4 linked regions of the Caenorhabditis elegans genome follow. The protein of the gene in region 1 purifies or fractionates together with the protein of each later gene. This does not show direct contact. Each region holds a gene or a part of one and is shown in the gene's direction. Other genes may lie near its edges. The genes, in order: him-1, rfc-2, czw-1 and athp-2.

Evidence for each region.
Region 2: the proteins of him-1 (region 1) and rfc-2 fractionate together in Caenorhabditis elegans (co-fractionation; one large-scale study listed by BioGRID). This does not show direct contact.
Region 3: the proteins of him-1 (region 1) and czw-1 fractionate together in Caenorhabditis elegans (co-fractionation; one large-scale study listed by BioGRID). This does not show direct contact.
Region 4: the proteins of him-1 (region 1) and athp-2 fractionate together in Caenorhabditis elegans (co-fractionation; one large-scale study listed by BioGRID). This does not show direct contact.

What each region holds. Positions count from the first base shown.
Region 1 is NC_003279.8:4,951,637-4,959,578, reverse strand, and holds the start of him-1 (Structural maintenance of chromosomes protein 1), read left to right. Parts: upstream 1-1,911; 5' UTR 1,912-1,918; coding exon 1,919-2,140; intron 2,141-2,189; coding exon 2,190-2,771; intron 2,772-3,020; coding exon 3,021-3,929; intron 3,930-3,981; coding exon 3,982-4,331; intron 4,332-4,388; coding exon 4,389-4,608; intron 4,609-4,795; coding exon 4,796-5,077; intron 5,078-5,174; coding exon 5,175-5,523; intron 5,524-5,658; coding exon 5,659-5,780; intron 5,781-6,061; coding exon 6,062-6,268; intron 6,269-6,965; coding exon 6,966-7,289; intron 7,290-7,547; coding exon 7,548-7,769; 3' UTR 7,770-7,942. Other genes in the region: enu-3.3 (ENhancer of Uncoordination), read right to left, coding at 28-87; mzt-1 (Mitotic spindle organiZing protein (MOZART) homolog), read left to right, coding at 1,425-1,452, 1,502-1,569, 1,615-1,722. UniProt on the Caenorhabditis elegans protein: Involved in chromosome cohesion during cell cycle and in DNA repair. Required for chromosome segregation during mitosis. Central component of cohesin complex. The cohesin complex is required for the cohesion of sister chromatids after DNA replication.
Region 2 is NC_003282.8:1,345,612-1,353,317, forward strand, and holds rfc-2 (Replication factor C subunit 2), read left to right. Parts: upstream 1-1,702; 5' UTR 1,703-1,706; coding exon 1,707-1,853; intron 1,854-1,924; coding exon 1,925-2,031; intron 2,032-2,156; coding exon 2,157-2,280; intron 2,281-3,164; coding exon 3,165-3,243; intron 3,244-3,780; coding exon 3,781-3,956; intron 3,957-5,919; coding exon 5,920-6,174; intron 6,175-7,155; coding exon 7,156-7,272; 3' UTR 7,273-7,366; downstream 7,367-7,706.
Region 3 is NC_003282.8:7,943,086-7,948,377, reverse strand, and holds czw-1 (Centromere/kinetochore protein zw10 homolog), read left to right. Parts: upstream 1-1,785; 5' UTR 1,786-1,802; coding exon 1,803-2,096; intron 2,097-2,139; coding exon 2,140-2,696; intron 2,697-2,750; coding exon 2,751-3,293; intron 3,294-3,341; coding exon 3,342-4,152; intron 4,153-4,491; coding exon 4,492-4,623; 3' UTR 4,624-4,758; downstream 4,759-5,292. Other genes in the region: F20D12.12 (uncharacterized protein), read right to left, coding at 424-467, 874-907. UniProt on the Caenorhabditis elegans protein: Essential component of the mitotic checkpoint, which prevents cells from prematurely exiting mitosis. Required for the assembly of the dynein-dynactin and mdf-1-mdf-2 complexes onto kinetochores.
Region 4 is NC_003280.10:4,338,533-4,343,191, forward strand, and holds the start of athp-2 (Bromodomain adjacent to zinc finger domain protein 1A), read left to right. Parts: upstream 1-1,649; 5' UTR 1,650-1,663; coding exon 1,664-1,776; intron 1,777-2,561; coding exon 2,562-3,026; intron 3,027-3,663; coding exon 3,664-3,935; intron 3,936-4,659.

The sequences.
Region 1 (7,942 bases):
AAATCGAAGGATGTCTAAAAAACTCACCAATACATGAACTATTAATCCGAAGATTACCAATGAAAACAAAATACGCAAAATACGCATTTTTGTGTGACGCGTGTGTCGGAGAGAAACCGATTTCACAAACTAATTTAAGTTATAATTTGTTTATTTCAATCGCTACGTGTGCCACGTGTGCCACGTGGCCACGCGTGAGTAGGGGCGGGGCCTATTTCGCAACCACCGCACACTCTTTTCGCAAGCCTCGCACGTTTTTTCCATGATATTGTTGCATTTTTTCAAAAGAAAAACGTGCGAGGCTTGCGAAAAAAGTGTGCGGTGGTTGCGAAAAGGTCCCGTCACTGCATCCTGTTTTGGGAGGCCCCACGAAAAGGGGAGCAGAACGAAAAGGCGATCTGCAAAAAGGGGATCTGCGAAAAGGGGAGATACGAAAAGGGGAGATACGAAAAGGGGAGCAACGAAAAGGGGAGCTGGCACTGTGCCAAACGCACAAAACGCAATTTTTCTCACGCAACGCACGTTGATTTTTGAAATTTTCTTCTAGAAGATACGCTTAACAACACGCGACGCGTAACATCGGAGCATCGTTGTATCGTTTTCTTCGAGAAAAATAGCGTTTGGCACAGCCAGATCCCCTTTTCGTTGCTCCCCTTTTCGTATCTCCCCTTTTCGTATCTCCCCTTTTCGCAGATCCCCTTTTCGTTCTGCTCCCCTTTTCGTGGGGCCTCAAACGTGACTTCCAAAATCGCCGCGAGACCCGAACGACTGAGTCTGTGTCCCTTTAAATGTATATTTACGGCAGCCTTTCAGAGAAATTTTTCAATTCATTGCGATTTCCTTCACATATTTCGTTGTTTTTTTTAATTTAGTACTATCAGAAAAATAAAAAATTGACTCTACCATGCAAAAAAAAACAAAAATTTACACTAGGTTTGACGAATTTAACTACTTCTCTTCGATCTGTTGCTTTATGTAAATAGTTGTTTTCTTATTGAAAATTGTATTTTTTATTGATGTTCTCAGCAAGTTCCGCGTACTAACTCAGAGTTTTTGAATCAGCGTGGCATTAGGAATGCTCTTTTACAACATTCTCTGTTGTTTTTTCTCTAATAATCTTTAACTTTTCAATACTAACTTCTTATTGTTTTTATTACCTTTTGTACCATCTTTATCACGAAATATTGCAAGAAATTCATTTTAATATTCCTCCAAAAACAACACTACGACACTCCGCAGTAACATTTATGCGTTTCGTTTAGCGTCCTCACATTTCAAATTTGAACCTGTTCATCTAACGATACTAAGTGATTTTTCGATAATTTATGCTTTATTATTGTTATTTCTGACAACAACGGATTGAAATTATATTTTTCTATTTAAGGATCATCAATTTCACTTATCTCCCCGTTATTTTATCGATTATGAGCGACCCAAAGAAACACACCCAGCGTAAGTTGAATTTTTTCAATATAAATCGATAATGTTTTTACATTTACAGGCATTGTTGAAATGGGAAAATTTCTAAATGTTTTCCTCACAGCTGAGCAGGTTTCGTCAGTGGAGAGGGTGAGATTTTATCGATTTTCCCAGTATTTTATTCACTTATTTCAGTTACTATCACTGGGCGTTTCACCGTTGAACCTTGTCCGTCTTATTCAAAACCTTGGAACTCCCAGCACACAGAGTTCACCAAGCAATCGGGAAAATGCATTGTCATGATTTAATCAGCTCCTCAAATTATCGGCAAACCTGGTCATAATGTATATTCACTTTTTTTAAAATAAACTAAACTGGTTTCTCATTATTATCTATTTTTATTTATTCCATGTATGATATTGGTTTATCTACCAAAAATTACCTCACCATTCTTATTCTTGTTCAACTATAACTTTTTACTTAATTCTTCAGACTAATAATGCGTGGCGGAAGCTCGCTGGATAGTTTTCCAGGCAAAGGAACTCTCCACACACTCGAGATCGAAAACTTCAAATCTTACAAGGGAAAACATACTATTGGACCCTTTACAAGATTCACAGCTATCATTGGACCAAATGGTTCAGGAAAATCAAATCTTATGGACGCAATTTCGTTCGTGCTCGGAGAGAAGCCAAGCAGTTTGCGTGTTAGAAAGTATGCGGTAAGAGAAAAAGTATAAAATATAGAAGATTTTAATCAATAATGTTTAGGATTTGATTCATGGTGCACCAATTAACAAGCCAGTTGCTAAGAAATGTCGTGTCACTATGAACTACAAATATTCTGACGGAAAAGTCAAGGCATTCACCAGAGGCGTCAATAATGGAACATCTGAACATCTTCTTGATGGTCAAACTGTCACAAGTGCAGCATATTCACAAGAAATGGAAAGTATCAATATCTTCATCAAGGCAAGAAACTTTCTGGTATATCAGGGAGCTATCGAAAATATTGCCATGAAAACTCCAAAAGAACGTACTCAACTCTTCGAGGAGCTCTCACGATCACACGAGTTTCAAGCAGAGTATGAAAGATTGAAAGTTGAGATGACAAAAGCTGAAGATGATACTCAACACAATATGAACAAGAGACGAGGAATCGCTCAAGAGAAACGTGAGGCAAAAATGGAGAAAGATGAAGCTGAAAAGTATCAAACCATGAAGAATGAGCTGGCTGCAAAATCGACGATGCTATTTCTCCATCAATTGTTCCATTGCGAACGGACGATCGACGAATCAAAAGAGGAGATCAACGCTCAGAAAAAGACGATTGCAAGTCTCGAAGCAACTAGGGTATGATGAAGGCAATTCTACTAAATGACGTTCTTCCAATATTTTTCATTCATATTTTGTGATAAACTTTAGAAAAATATTTTCTTTATCTGAAAATTACTTATTTAACTTGGAACAACTTAAAAAGCAGTTCTTCCAAGTTATACAAAAGTTATTTTCCGGTGAAGCTAATATTGTTCAATATTTTATCGTAAAATTTTGATTGATTGATTTATAGTATATAAAAATAATCAAAATTATATATTACAGTCGAAAGAAGAAGCGAAAATCGCTGCGGTTCATCAGGAGCACCGGAAAGCTCTCCGCGAGGTTCAGAAGATGACAAGAAAACTCGATCAGAAAGAGACGGATTTGGCTGAAAAGCAACAAAATATGCTGACATTGAAAGTTTCCGTTGCTCACGAGCACAAGAAGCTGGAAATTGCGAAGAAGATGCTTGCCGCTGCAGAAAGTAAGGCAGAGAACAACTCGACTCAGCTGGCGGATTTGAAGAAAAGCAAAAAAGAGCTAGAAAAGAAGAAGGCCGCATATGAAGCAGAGATTCAGGATATGATGCAAAGAGGCGAGTTAAATCTTTCGGATGAACAAGTACGTGAGTACGGACAGCTGAAAGATCAAGCTCAGCGAGAATCAGCAATGGTTCAAAGAGAGCTATTGATGGCCGAACAAGTGTTCGAAGGTGATAAGAGTTCTCTAAATCATGAGCTTCGACGCCAAAAGGAGCATCAAGAAAGAGTTAAAGCGAAGGAAGGTGATGTGCGAAGAATTGAAACTCAAATTGCAACTCTTGCTCAAAGAATCAAGGAAACTGAAGAAGAGACAAAGATCTTGAAAGCTGATCTTAAGAAGATTGAAAATGACGTTGTTATTGATAAATCAGCAGCAGCGGAATACAACAAAGAGCTTGTAGCTGTCGTTCGTCAACTCTCCGAAGCTTCTGGAGATTCTGCAGAAGGAGAAAGAAATCAAAGAAGAACGGAGGCACTTGAAGGATTGAAAAAGAATTTCCCGGAGAGTGTGTATGGTAGACTTGTCGATCTCTGTCAACCGTCTCATAAACGGTTCAACATTGCCACCACAAAGATTCTTCAGAAGCATATGAACAGTATTGTTTGTGATACTGAAGAGACTGCTGCCAAGGCAATTGTTTATCTGAAGGTTTGTTCTTTTTTCACTTCCAAAATTTCAATTCATAATAACTAATTTCCAGGATCACCGTTATCCCCCAGAAACCTTCCTTCCAAATGATGCACTAGTTGTTAATCCACTAAATGAAAAACTTCGTGAAATCAAAAAGCCAGCTGGAGTGAAGCTCGTCTTCGATGTCATCAATCCTCAACATCAAGCAGCTAGAAAAGCTCTTCAATTCGTTTGTGGAAACGCATTAGTTTGTGAGAGTCAAGAAGATGCTAAGCAGCTTGCATACGGTGGAGGAGAGCTGAAAGATCGTTTCAAGGCAGTTTCGATGGACGGAACTCTGTTCCAACAATCTGGAGTTATGTCCGGAGGTTCTGCTGATTTGAGACAAAAGTCCAAGAAATGGGACGAGAAAGTTGTCAAGTGAGTTTTTATTTTATTTTTTATTAAATTGAAAAAAAAACATTAATATTTTTCCAGACAACTCCGAGAAAAGCGGAACCAACTGAACGAAAAAATCGCGGATCTTCAGAAACATCGTCGTCGTGAACTCGAAGTGGAAAGTGTACGCTCCAAGATTAATGGAAATGAGCAAAGATTGGCAATGATGAAGCGAGATCTGAAGAATATGCGAGAAATGCAGTTGGAAAGACTTCAAAATGAGCTTGAAGGCATGACCGCGGAGATGAATATGCTTCCGGTGATTATTTTTAGTGACCAACGGTTCTGGAAAAAAAAAATTATAACCCCAAAAAGTGCTCAACTTAACGAATTTCGTAATGAAAATTCTCAAAAATCTTTCAAAAATTTATTTATTTTGGAGCAAATTTTGGAGCCATTAGACCTCCTTTTAAATTTGTAATCTGCAAAAATTGATATATTTTCAGCCGCGAATCTCGAATTGTCAAGAAAAACTTGAACGCAGTGAAAGTACTTTAAAATCTCTGCAAACGAAGAGCAATGAAGTGGCTGATCGAATTTTCGCTGATTTCTGTACTCGTGTTGGAATCGCATCGATTCGTGACTATGAGAATCGTGAAATGCGTATCAAGCAAGAAATGGAAGACAAGCTTCGATCATTTGACGATGATATCCAAAAGTTGGCCTACGAAATTGACTTTGTCACCGAGCAAGATGGCAATCGGAAAGTTGAAGTTGAAAAGGAGAAAGTACGTTTTTCATTTTTTTGTAAAGAAACTCCTTATCAGTTTCTTTAAGATTCTTAAAATTGTTTTGTTTACCTTATTTGAAATATTTTTATTACAGGTTTCACAAATCGACCGACAATATAAGGACATGAAGAAAAAAGAGAAAACGGCGGCGGCCGCTTTGAAAGAGCACACGGAATCCATGGAGCAAGACAAGGAAGTGCTGGAAGAGAAGAAGGCCTTATCACATAAATTGGAAACCGAGTGGAATGAGGTCAAAAAAATTGCACAAGTTGCGATGAAAGACTTTACAAAGGCTGAAAAAGAGCTTCTTCGTCTTGAAAGTTTGCTTACTAAGAAGCAATATGAACGGCACTCTCTTCTTCATTCTGTGAAGCTTGGGCAAATTGCGTTACCACTCAAATCAGGAAGTATGGCTGACGTTGAATATGAGGAAGATGATGGAGGTTGGATATTTATTTTGATTTTGATGTTTTGAAAAAATCGCATTTTCACTTTTCCATAATTCAGTTTTCAGCTTTTAGATATATATTTCATAATTTTTGTCTCCCTGTTTCCTTTCAAGTTCCAATTAATTTCAGATGACACAGCTTCTCAGTCTTCTCAATCAGCCACCGATGGTCCAAGTGTATCAGAGGAGCAAATTCAACGAGAGCAACACATCAAAATCAACTACGACTCGTTACCGCGAGAATATAAAGATGTTAGTGCTGCCAAGACATGTTTCGGTTTTCTGAGCAAACCGAAAAAATACTGGCAACAAAAATTTATTTATTTTTTCTGAACTATTTTGACCCTAAATTTTTTCGATTTTTGAGCCAAACAAAATACGAAAAAAATCTACTTTTTCGGTTTAAAAAAAACCAGCAGTCCTGTTAGTGATGGTTGCTGATCAAAAATTATTTGCTCTTTTGCCAACCCCGCCCCGCCCTGCCCCCCTCCGTGTTTTAGTTCATTTCTAGATTCACACGATTTGCATTACAGGTGGATGACGATGATGGTGTACGGCAAATGTCGAATCGACTCAATGTGGAAATCGATGAACTGCAGAAAAATGTGTCAAAAATGAATGCGCCGAATTTGAAAGCCAATCAGAGAATGGCAGAGGTGAAAGAACGAGAAGCCGAGTCGACTGAAGAACTTGAAAATGCTCGAAAGAAGGCGAAGAGAATTCGGCAACAGTTCGAGAAGGTTAGTTATTAAGAAATTCCAAACGTTTAGTATCTGAAAATGTATCGATAAAAATGAAAGTTTAGGAGAGCTTCGAATCCATTTTAGACATTGAAAAATTTAGATTTTACACATAATTTTGTGGGCCAAAATAAAAAAAATTCCTTGACTAGATAAAAACTAGAAAATTAGCTAAAAAATATATATTTAAAACCTACAAAATGCATTATTTTTTAAATGTCAAAAATGGATTCAAATCAGGAGTGGGCATCAGTTATTTTTTCAAAGTATAGAAAATCTCTTGATTTATCTGAAAAGAACATTTATTTCAGTCAAAAGATTTGATAAAGTACTCAAAAAATGTTATTTTCACAGATATCGGGTGATTTTTTACATTTTGACATTTTTTAAATTAAAAACGTTGAACCAACATGTTTGAATCACCGAAAAAAAAACCGCTTCATTAAAATAATTTTTTTGCGATAATTTTCCTATACTGAAAATAAGAATATTCTTGAAATTCCTTGAAATGAAAATGTGCACCTTCTGGACACCAAGTGACAAAAACATTAGAGATAAGAGACATAGACATTCATAACTTTAAAATGACAACAGTTGTACCCATATTGTCACTCAATCTGTCCCCTCTATCTCTCACACCTCTTCAATTTCACTTTTCTCATATATTTTATCGATTTTAAAATATTGTTTTTTTCAGGTAAAAACCGATCGCTACCGACGCTTCCAAGATTTCTTCGATCCTGTGGCCAACACTATCGATGACATTTACAAGCAACTCTCACGAAATACTTCTGCTCAAGCCTTCCTCGGAGCTGATAACATGGAAGAGCCCTATCTGGATGGTATCCAGTACAATTGTGTAGCTCCTGGAAAACGTTTCCGTCCGATGGATAACTTGTCTGGAGGAGAAAAGACAATTGCCGCGTTGGCACTGCTTTTTGCAGTTCACGGACGTAATCCTGCTCCGTTTTTCGTTCTCGACGAGATTGATGCTGCTTTGGATAATACTAATATTGGAAAGGTATTTATTTAAACTGTTCATTAAAATTAAATTTTGCTTCAAAAGATAGAAAAATGACTGTAATGACCGAATATTACTGTTGTAAAACACAAAAATTATAAAATAAGGGTAAATCCTCCGGTTTTTCTGCATATTTTTGATAGTTGATCTAAAAAACTATCAAACTATCAAACTTTTAAGCAAAATTTCAAAACGATTTTACTCCGCCTTTAGTATAACCTGCGAGAAAAGATTGTAACGTTTTTTTTGTAATTTCAGGTCGCTTCGTACATCTGTGAATCAGCTCGTGAGCATATGCAAATTATCGTCATTTCTCTCAAAGAAGAGTTCTACAACAAAGCTGACTCACTCATCGGAATCTTCCCATATCCAGCCGCTTGTACAACATCTGGTGTTCTCACTTTCGATTTGACGCGCTTCAAACAAATTGGTCTCAATGAAATGACTGAAAATCCACCAACACCATCGATTGCAACATAAATTATATAAATTTTTGACAACCGCGACTATCAAATCATCTGTATAATTTCATTATTACTATTCCCTTACCCCTCATTATTTCTTAATTATCAAAAACCGATTCACTCAGTCACACAGTTCCCCGCATTTAAAGGTCTCAAACGTTTTTCCCTCTTCTCTCTTATACATTACTG
Region 2 (7,706 bases), on another chromosome or scaffold:
ATGGGTCTCACCACGATGGGTCTTTCCACGATGGGTCTCACCACGGTGGGTCTCGCCACGATGGGTCTCACCACGATGGGTCTTTCCACGATGGGTCTCACCACGGTGGGTCTCGCCACGATGGGTCTCGCCACGATGGCTCTCGCCACGAAGATCTCGCAGCAACATTTTTTTAATTTTCCAGAAGGTTCTAGAACAATCCAGAATTTTTTCGAATTTTCCAGAAGGTTCTGGAACATTCCAGAATTTTCTAGAATTTTCCAGAAGGTTCTAAAGCTTTTCAGAATTTTCCAGAAGGTTCTGGAACATTCTAGAATTTTCCAGAAATTCCCAGAAGGTTCTGGAACATTTCAGAATTTTCCAGAAGTTTCCAATTTCCCTTCCAAAGACGGAAAGTCAATTTTTCATAAACTACCGTAATCCTACCGTACTCCTACAGTACTCCTACAGTACTATTACAGTACCCCGACCATATTCCACTACTAACCGCAAACCTATATCTCTTCAAAAGACAAAAACACAATTTTTCATAAACTACAGTAATCCTACAGTACTCCTACAGTACCTCTACAGTACTACTACAGTACCCCGACCATATCCCACCTCTAACCCCAAACCTATATCTCTTCAAAAGACAAAAACACAATTTTTCATAAACTACAGTGATCCTACAGTACTAATACAGTACTCCTACAGTACTAATACAGTACCCCGCCCATATTCCTCTACTAACCACAAACTAATATCCCTCCAACAGCCGAAAACACCTTGCCTTTGTAAGCTATGACGTCACTTGTTAACAAACGGACACTATTTTTTTATATATAGGTAATGATTAATTATTAATTATTAATTATTAATTATTTATTTATTTATTTATTTATTTCAAAAAAACTTTTTTCGATGTCAGGAGTCCTGACTCAGGACAAGTCGTCGTCGGAAGAAGAAGACTTGGAATGCTCACTCCGAAGGTTCCATGGCTGTCCATCGCACGTACTGACCGTGAAAAAAAATGGAATGAGTTTATCCTCTTCGCAACTTGAACCCAACGGACATCAAAGTATCAAAGTAAAGTAAGTAAGAGCTCGAGCCCAGATGCTCGAGCTTGAGCCTAAATGCTCAATCTCGAGCCCAAATGCTCGAGCTCGAGCCCATATGCTCTATCTCCAACGCGAAAAAAGTTGTAGCTGTTAAAAGTCCATGAAGTGCATCCACTTGCCACGAGAAGTGAGAATCAGCCCGAAGCCGCCACAGTCGTACATATTTTCTTTATTTAAACCGGTCAGATACACTGATAGTATTATATTTAACATATTTCTATCTGCAAAAATGCTCTTCTGCCCAGAATTCTTCTGATTCCATTTAATTCTTGCTAGAAATCGCTGAAAAAACAGCTCGTATTTACAATTTTTTGTAATTTCCGACTTCCCATTTTATCAATTTTACTATTTCTGTGAAAAAAATTCGAAATTTCGTTCAAAAATAGCGATTCTGGCTCAATTTCATGAATATCTGTTGTTTTTTTTGGCAAAAGTGGCCGCGGCCGAGGAGGAAACCTTGTCCCCGCTCGGTGTACTCCTCTCGGATAATATTTGTTTTTTGAATTTTAAGCGCGCCAAACTGATTTTCTTTGTCATTCCATGAATTTTCGTCACGTTTTTCGAGTTTTGTATCGAATTCTTATCAAATTTTCAATATTTCCAGCTATGTCAAAGTCGGAAAAGCAACAATTAGCGCCATGGGTGGAGAAATATCGTCCAAAAGTGCTCGCCGATATTGTCGGCAACGAGAACATTGTCGAGCGGCTCAAAGTGATCGGACACGAGGGAAATGTGCCGAATATTGTTTTGTCGGTGAGAAGATTGTTGAAAAATTCATTTTAAAAGTCAAAATGTGAAGTGAAAAATCGAATTTTTCCGTTCAGGGTCCCCCAGGCTGCGGAAAAACGACATCAGTGTGGGCGTTGGCTCGAGAATTGCTCGGCGATAAGGTTAAGGAAGCGGTGCTCGAGTTGAATGCGTCGGACGAGAGGTTTGTGAGAAAAAACCCTGAATAACTGGGAAAAATTGCAAAAAAATTGACTTTTTCGCTAAAAACTTTGAAAAAATTGAATTTTTCTCAAAAAAAAAATCTCAAAAAACTGCCAATATTTCCAGAGGAATCGATGTGGTCCGTCATCGTATCAAAACGTTCGCCCAGACGAAGGTGACACTTCCAGAAGGCCGTCACAAGATTATCATACTGGACGAGGCCGATTCGATGACCGATGGTGCACAGCAGGTGCGGAATTTTGCCGAAAAACTTGGAAATTTGAATTCAGCTCAACGAGAGCTTTGATTTAAGTATGAACATGACTAGGCTGCGATAATTTTGGAAATAAATCTGAAAGTTTTAGGCTTAGGCTTTTAGGCTTAGGCTCAGGCTTTAGCTTAGGCTCAGGCCTTGACTTTGGATTAGGTTTAGGCCTAGGCCTAGGCTTAGGCTCAGGCTTAGACTTAAACGTAGGCGGGATTTTTTTAAGTAAAAAAAGCCGAAAAGTGAGTGTTTTTAGTAGATTTTTCAGTTTTTTTTTGACAAAATCTAGATAAAATCGGAATTTTCTGACGAAAATATCAAAGTTCCGCAATTTTTGAGCTTTTTGCAATGAAATTGGTACAAATTTCGAATTTTTTTTAAATGAAAAATGCCATAAATTAAATGGTCAAAAATCCGGAATTTCTAGCGTTTTCCGAGACAATTTGCGATTTTTTTAAAGAGAAAATGTCAAATATCAGAAAATTGCCCGTTTTTTCCACAAAAAAAACCGAGAAAAATGGTAACTTTGCACACACAATTTCACTTATTTTTTCAGGAAAATTTACACGATAATTAATCAAAATTTTCGTGTTTTTTTTTTTGAAATTGAGCCAGTTTGGATGTCAATCTACCAGTTTTTCTGCGAGGAATTCGATTTTTTCCAATGAAAATCCCCCCAAAAAATGCAATTTTCATCCGAAAAAACCTCCTAAACTCGAAAAATTAGTCCCCCGCCACGATGATTAAAAAATTTCCAATTTTTTCGAAATTTTCGGAACCCAGTCATGATTATACTTAAATGAAAGCTCTCAACGAGCTCAATACGAATTTTGCATTGAATTTCCAAAAAAAAAAAACCAAATTTTCAGGCTCTCCGCCGCACAATGGAGATGTACACAAAGACGACAAGATTTGCGTTGGCCTGCAATCAATCCGAGAAGATTATTGGTACATATTAGGGACGGCAAACGATTTTACCGGCAAATCGGCATATTGCCGGAATTGAAATTTCTGGCGAATTGCCGGAATTGAAATTTCCGGCAAATTGGCATATTGCTGGTTTTGAAAATTTCTAGCAAATCGACAAATTGCCGGAATTCAAATTCCTAGCAAATCGGCAAATTGCCGGAATTGAAATTTCTGGCAAATTGGCAAATTGCCGGAATCGAAATTTCTGGCAAATTGACAAATTGCCGGAATTGTAATTTCTGGCAAATTGGCAAATTGCCGGAATTGAAATTTCTGGCAAATCGACATATTGCCGGAATTAAAATTTCTGGCAAATTGGCAAATTGCCGGAATTGAAATTTCTGGCAAATTGGCAAATTGCCGGAATTGAAATTTCTGGCAAATTGGCAAACCGGCGATTTTCCGATTTGCCGAATTTGCTGACAAAAAATTTCCGAACGGCACTTGCCGTCCACACTAATACAGATCTCGGCCTGGAAACTCCCCAAAAAATCGATCGATTTTTGCCCCTTTCAGAGCCCATTCAATCCCGTTGTGCCCTGCTCCGCTACACAAAATTGAGCCCCGTACAGCTGTTGACACGTGTCAAGGAGGTTGCAAAAGCCGAGAAGGTCAACTATGACGACGGGGGTCTTGAAGCGATTCTGTTCACTGCACAGGGTGATATGCGACAGGCGTTGAACAATTTACAGGTAGAAAATCCGGGAAAAGGCTGAATTTTGAGCTGAAAACGCTGGAAAAAATTGCGAAAATTCACAATTTTCTAGACCAGAATTTTTACAATGTATGTGCTTAAAAGTAGTGAAAAACCGGAAATTTTAGCTAATTTAGTTGGAATTTGGCGTTTTCCGTAAAAAAGGTGAAAAAAATCATATTTTTAAAGGATTTTTTTTCACTAAAAATTGACCTTTTCCAAATTTTCTTCAGTGAAAATCTAAAAATGTTATTAATCTCAAAAATTCCAAAATAAAATCCAAAAAAAAAAATTCAAAAAATTTTAGGAAACTTTTTAAAAATTTCAAAAAAAAATCCTAAAAATTTCACAACAATCCCAAAAAATTCCAGATAATTCCAAAAAAAAAAAAAACTTTAAAAAAATTTCCAAAAAAGATTTCCAAAAAAGATTTCCAGGAAAACTTGGCCATCCTTCCGAACTCCATAATTTTATTTTCAAAATTTTGAAAAATTGGTCTAAAAATATAAAATTTCGCTGAATGTTCTTTTTTCCTTGAAAATCTCAAAAAGTTTCATGAAAATTGGATTTCGTACCATTTTTTTATTTAAACATTTTTTTTTGTTGATTTCACCAGTTTTTTACATTTTGCAACAAAAAAACTTAGAATTTTTCCTAAAATTGAAATTTTCATTAAAATTTTCTCATTTTTTCAGTGAAAATCATGAAATTTCATCAAAATATTGAAATTTTTTACATTTTTCAGTTAATTTTTTTTTTCGATAAAGGACATCTAAAAAAGGGGTATTTTAACAATTTTTTCCCCACAAAAATTGCAAAAATGCCGATTTCCAGTATAATTAAGTGGAAATTTCATGAAAATGTGACTTGTGTGTTTCTCTATCCGAATTGATGGTTTGAATAGTGGTATTCTCGGCTGAAATATGCAATAAATACCGTATTCCAACCAACAATTCGGTGCAATAGAGCACATTTGTCACTGGAGATGCGGAAGCTATGCCCAATTTTTCAATTTTTTTTAGTAAAAATCTGAAAATTTAAACAAAAATTGCGTTTCAAAACAAATTTTCCATTTTTGGGCTGAAAACTTGTAGAAAATTTAGAAAAAGTCTTATTTTCAAGTAAAAACTATGTAAAATATGCAATTTTCCGGCTAAAAAAAAGTAAAATGTTCCGATTTTCCAGGCAACAGTGAACGCTTACGAGCTTTGCCGAGATTTTCAATTATTTTTCACGTCGATCCTCATATCTTCTCAATGTTTTTTTTTCAAATTTTTTTTTCAAATGAACCCGATTCTTGTACAGAATATGTAGTTTTGGGTCTCGCAGCGAAATTGCGCGTTTTATTAATTATTTTTATTGCACTTTAAACATATTTATAGATGGATTTTCCTCGGAACTTTAGCAATTTCATCCCAGTTGCCGAGAAATGCTAAAAATTTGGGTACGGCAACTCGGCAATTGCACACTTTTTGAATTTTTCAATTTTTGATGCAAAAAATTAATTTTCTTGGATTTTTCAAATTTTGCTCAAATCCCTGCTAAAAATTCGAAGATTTTTTAGCCTTTTCTAGTTTTTGCCGAGGAATGCTATAAATTTTGGCTCGGCACCTCGGTAACTGAACTAAATTTCCCTATATATTGTCTGTGACTTGTGTGTTTCTCTATCCGAATTGATGGTTTGAATAGTGGTATTCTCGGCTGAAATATGCAATAAATACCGTATTCCAACCAACAATTTGTGCAATAGAGCACATTTGTCACTGGAGATGCGGAAGCTATGCCCAATTTTTTTTTAGTAAAAATCTGCTGAAAATTTAAACAAAAATTGCGTTTCAAAACAAATTTTCCATTTTTGGGCTGAAAACTTGTAGAAAATTTAGAATGTCTTATTTTCAATTAAAAACTATGTAAAATATGCAATTTTCCGGCTAAAAAAGTAAAATGTTCCGATTTTCCAGGCAACAGTGAACGCTTACGAGCTTGTGAACAAGGAAAATGTGCTGAAAGTCTGTGATGAGCCACACCCGGACCTTATGATCAAAATGCTCCATTACTGTACGGATCGCAAATTCTTCGAGGCATCCAAGATTATTCACGAGTTTCATCGGCTTGGCTTCTCCTCAGACGATATTGTATCAACGTTGTTCCGTGTGGTAAAGACTGTCGAGCTGTCGAAAAATGTGTCCGAACAGCTGAGAATGGAGTATATTCGGGTGAGAAAATGGGTGGAAAATGAGCCAAAATGAGCGGCTAAAAGCCGCCCGGGGTGTTCTGAAAATTGTCAAAAATCCGCGTTTTTTGGAGCTTTGTTTTGCCGAAAAACGCGAAATTTCGTTGTTAGATCATCGGAATATCTAAATTTCGGCCTTTGTGGCTGAAAATTGCCGAAAACCACCGGATTTTAGGGATTGGTAGCCTAAAATTGGCGAAAATCGTGAATTTCGAAGACTAGTTGCCGGAAATTGCCGAATTTTAGTTTTTGGTTACCGGAAATTGAGTCCGGCAACTCGGCAACTGAACTGAATTTCCAATTGAAATTTCCGGCCAACCGTAAAATTGCCGGAAATGAAAATTTGCGGCAACTCGGCAATTTGCCGGAATCGAAAGTTTCCGGCAAATCGGCAATTTGTCGGAATTGAAATTTCCGGCAAAACGGCAAAATGGTGGAATTGAAAATTTTCGTCCAATTGGCAAACTGCCAAAAATAAAAAATAAAATTTCCGCCACATTGCCGGAATTGAATTTTGAGGCAAAATGGGAAAATAGCGGAATTCAAAAATTTCCGGCAAATCGGCAAATTGCCGGAATTGAAATTTCCAGCAAAACGGAAAATTGCCAAAAATCAAAATTTCCGGCAAATCGGCAAGTTGCCGGTATTGAAAATATCCGGCCGATCGGCAAGTTACCGGAAATAAAAATTTCCGGATAATCGGTAAATTGCCGAAATTGAAATTTCCGGCAAATTGGCAACTGAATTGAATTTCCCGGTATATTGTCTGTGACTTGTGTGTTTCTCTATCCGAATTGATGGTTTGAATAGTGGTATTCTCGGCTGAAATATGCAATAAATACCGTATTCCAACCAACAATTTGTGCAATAGAGCACATTTGTCACTGGAGATGCGGAAGCTATGCCCAAATTTTAATTTTTTAGCCCAAAACCATTAAAAAAAAACAACGAAACAATTTTTCAGCAAATCGCCATGTGCCATATGCGTATCGTGCAGGGACTCACTTCGAAACTTCAACTCTCCCGTCTGATTGCCGATCTGTGCCGAGTTTCAGCAGCGGCAACGGCTACGAGTGCCTAAAATTGTTGCCGAGATTTTCAATTATTTTTCACGTCGATCCTCATATCTTCTCAATTTTTTTTTTCAAAATTTCAAATGAACCCGATTCTTGTACAGAATATGTAGTTTTGGGTCTCGCAGCGAAATTGCGCGTTTTATTAATTATTTTTATTGCACTTTAAACATATTTATAGATGGATTTTCCTCGGAACTTTAGCAATTTCATCCCAGTTGCCGAGAAATGCTAAAAATTTGGGTACGGCAACTCGGCAATTGCACACTTTTTGAATTTTTCAATTTTTTGATGCAAAAAATTAATTTTCTTGGATTTTTCAAATTTTGCTCAAATCCCTGCTAAAAATTCGAAGATTTTTTAGCCTTTTCCGGTTTTTTCCGGAATTCCAGTTTTTGCCGAGGAATGCTATAAATTTTGGCTCGCCACCTCGGCAACTGAA
Region 3 (5,292 bases), on another chromosome or scaffold:
AATTTCAACTCTAAAAAGTTCAATTTGAATTGTTTTTTTCGGTTTTTGAGTCGTTTTCGCGGAATAAAAGTAAAATATTTCAAAAAAATCGATTTTTCGCAGTGAAACAACAATTCACACGGAAAGGCGACGCGTAAAAATCGATTATTTGCAAGGAAAGAACAATTTACACGTGAGGAGACGAAGTGAAGAACGTAGAACGAGTTCTATTTAAAAAATTCGAATAAGATAACCTGAAAAATTGTGATGAAATGTTTTTCAGAGCCGAAGGAAATTGTTCAATGAAATTATTGTACAAATTGGTTTGCAAGCTATTCATTGAACATTAAGAGCGATATTTTATTGATCATGATAATTATTTACAGATAAGGATAATATTACATTTAATGAATTACATAATTTCAACAAAAAAACAATAATTTGTCATGAAAACGGAAGAATTTGGAGGATGAGCAGCTCGGGCGGATCTGAAAAATTTAAATTAGAACTTTCATAATGACATCGCTGATATATAAATGAAAAAAGATTTTATCTGGTCTATTATCAGATTCGCTTAGTTTTTAGAGGCTTTTGGCTTAAATGAATGCAATTACAAAATTCTACACAATTCAATTGAGAAGTCTACGGTTTGGAGTCTTAACGTTCACAGAGACGTACAATCGAAAAGAACTGATCGCCCGCCACTATACAGAAATTCCGACTTCAAAAGAGCAGTGACAGCAAATTATAGCTGTTTCAACGATTTCAATGCCTCTATAAGTCCATATATGTTCGATCCGAAGATATTTCATTAATTTTTTGTTAAACTATTTCAATTTTTGTTCTTAAATCAATTTTTTCCTACTTTCTACAATTTGAGAATATAATACTCACGTGGGTGGCCTGGAGAAGCACATCCCTGTTTCATCCGTGCAATTTCCCTCGATTCGACGAAGTCTAGAAATTAAAAAAATTGATAAAATATGAGAGGGAAAGAGATTAACAAAAGGAATACACGAATTAAGGAGGGCGAATTAACAAGTCACGGTTGAAAAATACTTTTTTTTGCGAAAATGGCTGAAAAAAACGAAGAAAAACAATTCAAATTGAACTTTTTAGAGTCGAAATTGATTTTTCTCCCCCAAAAAACAATGAAGAAAATCATCATTCAAAACCGTGCGGAGGTTGCAGAAATGGGCGTATTGTAAGGCACGGTTCTGTGGGCGTGGCCAATCCCCCGAGTTGGGAATCCCCCCAGTTGGACATCCCCCGAGTTCTTCGGGTCTCAGTTTTGTTCAGTCTCTCGTTGTCTGCATGTCCGAAGTACGCAAACACGGATGTACACCGTACATTGGCGCCAATAATCATAATTATGCGCGCGTGGAACGAAGTTTGATTTCGATTTCAAATCATTTTACAAACTTTTGTTTTTATCGTTCAAAGGATTTTAAAATCGATTTTCAACGCGTTGCAACGTAATAATTATACGTAATAAGATCTTATTCTTCATAGAAACGTTATTGTTTTTATTCACGCGGCGCTCTTTTTTCAAAAAGTAAGCAATCACGAATGCTGAATTCTCAATTAAACATTTTTTAAATTGACTCTTTCCCCAGTCACTTGCCTGCAACTCATCTCCCGTTATTAATTTTCATCTCTGTGAACGCGTGAGTAACATTTTTCTGCTAAAGTGAGCGCACCGGTGTCTCGTTGTCGTTTTTATGTTTTCTATTTGCGGGAAATTTAAATGCTCTTGTCTTCATGTATTTGTTAGTTAATAATTCCGTAGAACATTTTCTTTTTCAGGCTGTGAAACTTAAAAAATGGCGTCATCCGAGGGATCCTATAGAGATCTTGAGAAAAAACTGAAAAATGGACTTACTTCAATCTCGCAGGACATTGTGGACAAGTATGGAAACCTGAAAGTGTCACTCAATGTTAACGCGACAGCCAAGCTTATTTTCGACCGACTTGAGAACCTCGAGGATATAGCTGAAATGTCTACTCGAAATCTGTCTAACTTAATTGATCAGACAGCAAAGGACAGCCCCGAAATGCTCGCAGAGATTAAATCCCAAGCTCAAAGCTGCGAAAATCTGGTGGAATTCCTGCAATCGGTAATGGTTCGAAAATAAGCATATAAAACAATTGAGTTTTCAGATGAAAAATGTCGAAGAACAATTGATAATTATGCGGAGTAAAACAACGAATCGTGTAGAATGGGGAACTGCTATTCTTGCTTGTAAAGATTTTCTCAATGACACAAACATGCTGCTTGAAGGAATTGGACGAGACGGTTTCGACATGAGTGTTCCATTGAAGCATTTTGCCGCAGAATATTCGGTTTTAAGCTACAATTGTCGTTACCAATTGTCCGCTGACTACGAAAGAGCAATGAATGTTCCAAAACTGTCAAAACAGAAATGTGGAGATCGTACAAATGTTTCTTTCTCAGTATTCAATGTTGGAAGCGTGGAAGATCAGAAAATGCTGAACGAAACTCTAAGTGCTATGAATATGATTGGACAATTACCAGAACGACTGGACGCTTGGAAAATCGTTATCTTGAACGTGTTCTGTGAAGCGATTGTTGCTAGCCGCGATGGTGTTGACGTATATATTGTGGATAATCCAACACCTGATCAGACAAGATTCTTGATAAACCAAAAACCACGTGGCAAGAAGGACAAGACTATTGATGTCGCAAAAGTTCTCGAGTGAGCGAAAACCACTTTAAAATTCTGAAATTTAATTAAATATGGTTGTTTCAGGTCAATGGAAGTGTTTTTTACGAAGTTGCACTCCGTTCTTCATTCTCACGAACTGCTGGACGCGACTGGAAAGACTTTCACGTCGATGATCGGAAGCGTTATTGAGGAACAACTGATAACTATGATACTGAAAGATGTAATTGCGATTGCAGCACCCGTCACTGAAACTGCTGACGAAGATCAGGAGATGTTCATTAATTTGTTGCAAATTGGAGAGGTCTTTGTCGAAAGAATGAAGGAGCTCGGATTCTTTTCTCAGAAAGCAAAGTTGCTGTTCACTCTTGACACGGACACAATTTTTGTGACTCGTCGTTGCTTTGCGATCGTTTCAAAAGCGAATAAATTGATAAATGAAACGTATGACAAACTGGTTACAGTTGGAGTTGATGATTCAGCCATCAAGGATATTGATTTGCTTGCAAAGGCTCATACACATGCCGAACATTTTGCTAAAGAATATGGAAAAGATCTTGGACGTCTTTGGAGCCATAATGAAGATTCGCAGTTTCCATCATTCTTCGCTTTCCAGAAATGTACAGTCAGGTAATTTTTTAAAGTGTTTATTATTTTTTTCTAAAAAATAATTTTCAGTGAATCAACTATCAACTTTGTCAATCTTCTCCGTGATAACGTGAAGGCTGCGTTTGCCTGTGAAGATGAAGGTGCTCGTGCGAAACTCGCTCTTACCGCCGAGAATATTGTTCGTCTCTACGTGATTCTCACACCAAGGAAGCATGCTGAGTTGTTCAGTTCGATCCCGAACATGGCTGCCATTTTTTACAACAACTGTCATTATATATCACACTGCATTATGACGATGTCGTTTGAGGCTAGTGGTGACAATCAGAAGACGTTATTGGAACCATTGCTCCTTGATTCTGTTATCAGATTGCGTACTGTTGCCGCTGATTGCATGGAAAAGACACTGACAAGATGCCGTCGCGAAATGACTGCTTATTTGGAGGATCATAGCATCTTTGAACACTTGCCTGCAAGTTATAAGACTACAAAGAATACATTTGCTGCTGCTGAAGAGATGTCCGAGTCGGCTGATATTCTTGTTCCGAGAGAAGAGCCAAAAATTATCAAATGTCTTGCCGCCTGCCTTCTTCATATTCGCCTTATTGCAAAAAATCTTCGTGAACCTTTGACTGAGGTGGTATACTGTAAGGTGATTGGATCACTCGTCTCGTTCCTGTTGGATTCTCTTGTGCGCCACGTTGTCACCACTTCCGATTTCCGCGAAAATGATGCTAACGTGATGGCTGACGTTTTCAAAAGACTTTTGGAAGTTGTTGCCAATATTGTCGCCTATAAGGAGCAGACAAAAGTGACCGATTTCTGTGCTCGAGAGTATTTCCGTCTTAATGAAATTGTGTTCGTTCTTGGAAACAGAATGCAGGTTGGTTTTTTTTCAAATATCGTGTAAAGTATTGTTTTGATGAAAGTGAAGTTTTGACCATGGAACTTTAGAGAAACTTTTTTAAAATAAAAAAGTTCTTCTAAAACAAGTGAAATTGCGAATATTTAAAGCAATTTATTTTCAAAAATTGGATTTTTTCAAATATTGGAAAAAGGAAAATATTAAAAGTTACCCTTTTTGAAATAGTGAAAAATCAAAAAAACACCCTTGTTTCGGACGTCGACTTTTGATGTTTTGATTTAACATAAATATGAAATTTACATGTGTTTTGTTCCGAAAGTCTAGAAATTATAAATAATTTTTATGCTAATTTTTCAGGATATCGAGCATCGATGGTTCAACGCTAAGGGTCCAATGGCAGAACATTTGAGCCGATCCGAAGTTGTTGGACTGATTAAAGCATTATTCGCCGACTCGCAACATCGTTCTGATCTTATCGCTCGTTTATAATGTGTATTAAACTAATTCATATTCTCTTCCACGCCAATACATTATTCATTTTTAATTTTTAACTGGCGTTGTGTTTCACTGTTTTACCGGTTTCCAGTATGTTTCCCCCAATGTTTTCTGAATAAAGTTAAACATCGGTGACGGTTTCCGATCAGTTCGCACTCGACACAATAGCCTTGGAATGTTGCCAACTTTTTTCAAATGCATTCCGTTGGCGCCCTCTGGAGAGTGCAGACAACAAGACGCCACTTTGAAAGGTCGGGGGCGCCCACCAGAAGGCGTATGTCATATGATGGTGGCACAGATGAAGGCGAAAGTCGAGCTTCATCACATTGAACCAGTTGTGACTTTTAATCCCGTCCGCAAGGGCCGCCCGTTTCCTTTCCCGGGCGGGCGACAATACGTTCTACTCTACTTATTTGTTTATTCTATTCTATTTCTCTCTGCAGCTTCTGCATTTATCCACCACATCGCAACAGCTTTCCTTTTTTCCGTTTTCTTCATATTCCTGAAGAAAATGAAAAGTGGTAATAAACAATTCGCGTTTTTTGAAGTGCCATGATTACTGTAGTCTTTTATATGTTTGGCTTTTGGTGGATATTAACTTACTCATTTTTTAAATGAAATTTGATACATCGCTTGATTCCTAGGTGATATTTCGAATCTTAT
Region 4 (4,659 bases), on another chromosome or scaffold:
ATTGATAAGTTGAAAACTTTTTTTTTGATAAGTTGAAAATTGAAAAAAGTGTGCGCCTTTAAAGAGTACTGTGTTTAACTGTGAATTTTTGTCGAGTTTTTCTCACAATTTGTGAAAATTTATTGTCTTTTTTATCGAAAAACTATGAAAAATTGATGAAAATTCACGAATTTTTGAAGTTACAGTACTCTTTAAAGGCGCACACCTTTACACACGCACTTAACAAAAATTGTCGCTTCGAGACCCCAGGTACTGTAGTCTTGGCGCATTTATTTCCAATTTTTTTGATCTTTATCCCATCAACTGGTCTCATCATATTTTCATATTTGTACAATATTTCTGTATCTGTATTTTTTTTTGTAATTTTTGTGGGCAGTTTCTTAATTTCCATCGCCGTCTTTCCTATCTCAGGTCCTTTTATTTCATGAATAATTGATTTTTATCCTAGAAAATTTGGATTTTTTGTTGTAAATTTACCTCTTTTAAGGTGTTCAAAACCTACTTTTTATCTGTGTTTTTTGAAAAATTTTGAAAAATTTTTTGCGGATGGGTCTCACCGCGAAGTCTGAAAGTTACACTGCAACTTTTTCCTCGCGAGGGACGAGGAAAAGTGGTTTCTAGGCCATGGCCGAGGGGCCGACAAGTTTCAGCGGCCATTTATCTTGCTTTGTTTTCCGCCTGTTTTCTTTCGTTTTTCATCGATTTTTTTCGTTTTTTCTTAATAAAACTGATAAATAAATATTTTTTGCAGATGCTAAAACAATTTCCAATTTCCAAGTGAAAAAATCATGCATTCAGTGGGCAAGCAGCGGTGAAAGTGGTCAATGTAATATGATGGATTACGGGAATACAAAACCTAAACTTTTTCTGAAACATGATACATATGATGCTTAGATGCTGAAATTACCTGATTTTCATAACGAGACCGCTGAAAAAGTTTTGAGGTTTTCAAAATTCAATTTTTTTGTGCGAAAATCTCGACTTTTTCACCAAAAAAGTTGAATTTTGGAAACCTCAAAACTTTCTTAGCGGTCTCGTTATGAAAATCAGGTAGTCTCAGCATTTAAGCAGCATATGTATCATGTTTCAGAAAAAGTTTAGGTTTTGTATTCCCGTAATCCATCATTTTACATTGACCACTTTCACCGCTGCTTGCCCACTGAATACATGATTTTTTTTACTTGGAAATTGTTTTAGCATTTGCAAAAAATATTTATTTATCAGTTTTATTAAGAGAAAACGAAAAAAATCGATGAAAAACGAAAGAAAACAGGCGGAAAACAGAGCAAGATAAATGGCCGCTGAAACTTGTCGGCCCCTCGGCCATGGCCTAGAAACCACTTTTCCTCGTCCTTCGTGAGGAAAAAGTTGCAGTGAGTTAAGATTACTGTATTCAAAAACCAGAAAAATACGTAGAATTGAAATTAAGAAACCAGAAAATTTCGAAAATTCATAATTTTTTGATTAAAAAAATTCAAATTTTTGATAAATTTTCTCACTTTCCTCGTCGTTTTCTGTACATTTTTCTACATTTTTTTTCCGATAAAAAAAAACACAGACCAAATTCTCGATTCCTACAGTAATGTATACTTTTCCCTGTGAGACCCATCCCTAGAAAATGCACTATAATTTTCCCCCAATTTTAACAGAACTCGGCGAGCACATGCCGTTGCTTCACAAGCAACAATTTGAACCACAATCAGTGCCAGATGGAGTCACTCGGGATACGCCAGTATTCTATTGCAAGGCTACAAAAGAAGTCTTTTTGACACATGAGTAAGCAAATGGGAAAATGGTTTAAATTTCGGATTTTTTTGTTGGAAAAATAGGTTGGAGCACTTGAAAAAAAGAGCCAAATAAAAAAACTCCAATTTTATCCGAAAAAAACCTTTTTTGTTCGAAAAGAACCGAAAAAAACCCCAATTTCGCAGAAAAACACCTATTCTTCCCAGTCAAACAAAAACAAAAAACAACCAAAAAACTCGTTTATTTTTTGCAAAAAAAAGACACCCATTTTTGCCAAGAAACCCAAAAAAAATCTTTGTTATTAAAAAAACCCCTCTTTTTTTCCCAAAAACGAAAAAAAACCGATTTCTCTCCGCAAAAAACCCCAATTTGTCAGAAAAAAACAAAGAAGAAACATTAAAAAGGAATTTAAAAAACCTATTTTACAAAAAAAAAGCAGAAAAAATATGCAAAAAACCTATTTTTCCAGAAAAATGCGAAAACCCCCCCCCCCCCCCATCTTTTTGCCGAAAAATACAAGAAAATCCCATTCTTGCAAAAAAAAATTCGGTTTTGTCAAAAAAAATTAATTTTTGCCAAAAAATGAACACAAAAACCTTCTTTTTTTTCCTTGAAAAAGCCCGAAAAAAAACGTTCAAAACCAAAAAAAACCCCCTTTTTTTTCTTTAAAAAAACCTGAAAAAAGGAAAAAAACTCCGATTTTTACCAAAAGATGAGCAAAAAATCCCGAAAAAAATTGACAAATTGCAGGACCCAATTTTTACCGAAAAAAATGCTCAAAAAACCATTTTTGTCAAATATCTTCAATTTTTCAGAGAATATTTCAATCGAATGATTCTACTCAACTCAACAGCCTGGTCATGTTCTCTTACTCGAAAATCAAATCTAACATATTTCGAAGCAATTGCCAGTGAACGAGAAGCCGAGCAAGAGCTCTGTAACTTCCCAACAGCTCTCGAAATTCCAATTACTTTAATTGTTCATAAATATACGAATCGTGGCCGTTTCGAAGATCTCGTAAATGATATTTATCACATTTTAAAAGATCGATTTTTCAATAACGAAGAAGTCGCCTACGCCGAGAAAAGCCGCAAATTTCTGGCGAAAATCGTCGAATCCAACCAAATCGAAGAGCAAAATCCATCTTTTGAGGGTGGAAGTGAGCTCAAAGAGCCCATTTTACCGCCGCCTGACACTTTTCGATACACACTACAGATTCTTGATCCAGCGGTGTCGGAAGAAGAAATGTATAGAGAAGGAATTGCTTTTGATCGACTTTTGTGAGTAAAATTAGGAAAATCACACGAAAATTGGAAAAAAGAAGAAATTTGACTCTAAAAATGCAGTTTTTCAGTTATAGGAACTTCTGACCAATCAGCGCCTAGCCACGCCCACTTTTGAACCAATCAGCGACGATCTGTGCCGCTGATTGGTTCAGAATTGGGCGGAGTCAGGTGCTGATTGGTCGGAAGTTAATAGTGACGGATTTTGACAATTTTTGGCAATTTCTGAATTTTTTGAGTAACTTTTTTGTATTTAAAACAAAAAAATCCAGAAAAAATTGCACTATTTTTTATAAATTTCGATTATAATTTTTTTTGGGAAAAAAATTCCAAAATTTCAACAAAGAAAAAAGCTAAATTCTCTCTAAAAACTAGCGAAATTTTTTTTTTAGAATTTACGAAAAAAATGGCAAAAGTTTGGAAAAAATCAAAAAATTAACGAAAAAATGTAAGAATTAACCGGAAATTGTACAAAATTGCGAAAAATTGAATGAAAACTAACGATTTTTTAAAGAATTTTACGTTTATTTTTCGATATTTTTTGAAATTTTTATAATTTCCCAAGCTACAGTAACCCTACAGTACCCCTACAGTTTGGAGGAAGAAAATCAAAATTAATTTCCCCAATTTTCAGCCGCTCAAAAAACATTGGATCCCGTCAAAAAATCCGTTTATTCCTTAAAAACTGCTGTCAAATGTCGCCGGACAGTGAACGCTACACACTAAAATTCCAGTTTTTGGAAAAAATCGATAATCTCTACTGGACCGATGTAATGTCTGGCGCTGAGCCAATTTGTCCTCAAACTCCTGCTCTGCAACGTGGACGTGCTCCGAATACTCTCAAGGCTGGGGATCATGAACGAAAAGAGAAGAAGCCGAAAAAAGAGGAACGGGATCCCGCGGCTCGTGAGTTCCTTTTTTTTTTATAAAATACATATTTTTTTTCAATAAAAAAATGCTCTGCCGGAAATTTTTTTTTCGATTTATTCATTCAGAAATATTTTTAAAATGACAAAAAGAATCGGTAATTTAACGGAAAAAGTTTGAAAATTGATGAAAAATTCAAAAATTTAACTAAAATTTGGAAAAGCTCAGAAAAAATTTTAAAATTTGCGAAAAAAAAAATTTCATGTTTAATTTTTAGTAGTTTTCCGTTAGTTTTCAGAATTTTATTATTATTCAGAAAAAATATAAAAAAATTAAATTCCGAAAAATTCTAAAAATTGACGAAAAATATTAAAAAATAACAAAAAGTTCAAAATTTTGCGAAAAAATTACCGAAAATTGATGAAAAACCAAAGAAAAATTTCAGAAATTCAGAAAAAAATTTAAAACAGAAAATACGCAGTTTTAAGAGTTTTTTGTTAATTTTTAGAATTTTTAATAATTTTTCAGAAAAATTCTTTTTTTTTCAGAATTTCTCGTATTTTTAAAAGAATTTTCCGTTAATTTTCAGAGTTTTTAGAATTTTTATGTAAACTTTTCGTTAATTTTTTAATTTTCAATATTTTCAGTTTTTTCGAATTATTTTTAAAAATCTTCGTTAATTTTTAGATTTTTAAACTCTTCGTAATTTTTAAAATTTTCAGTTTTAAGATAAAACGACCAAAAATGAGCAAAGTATGAAAAA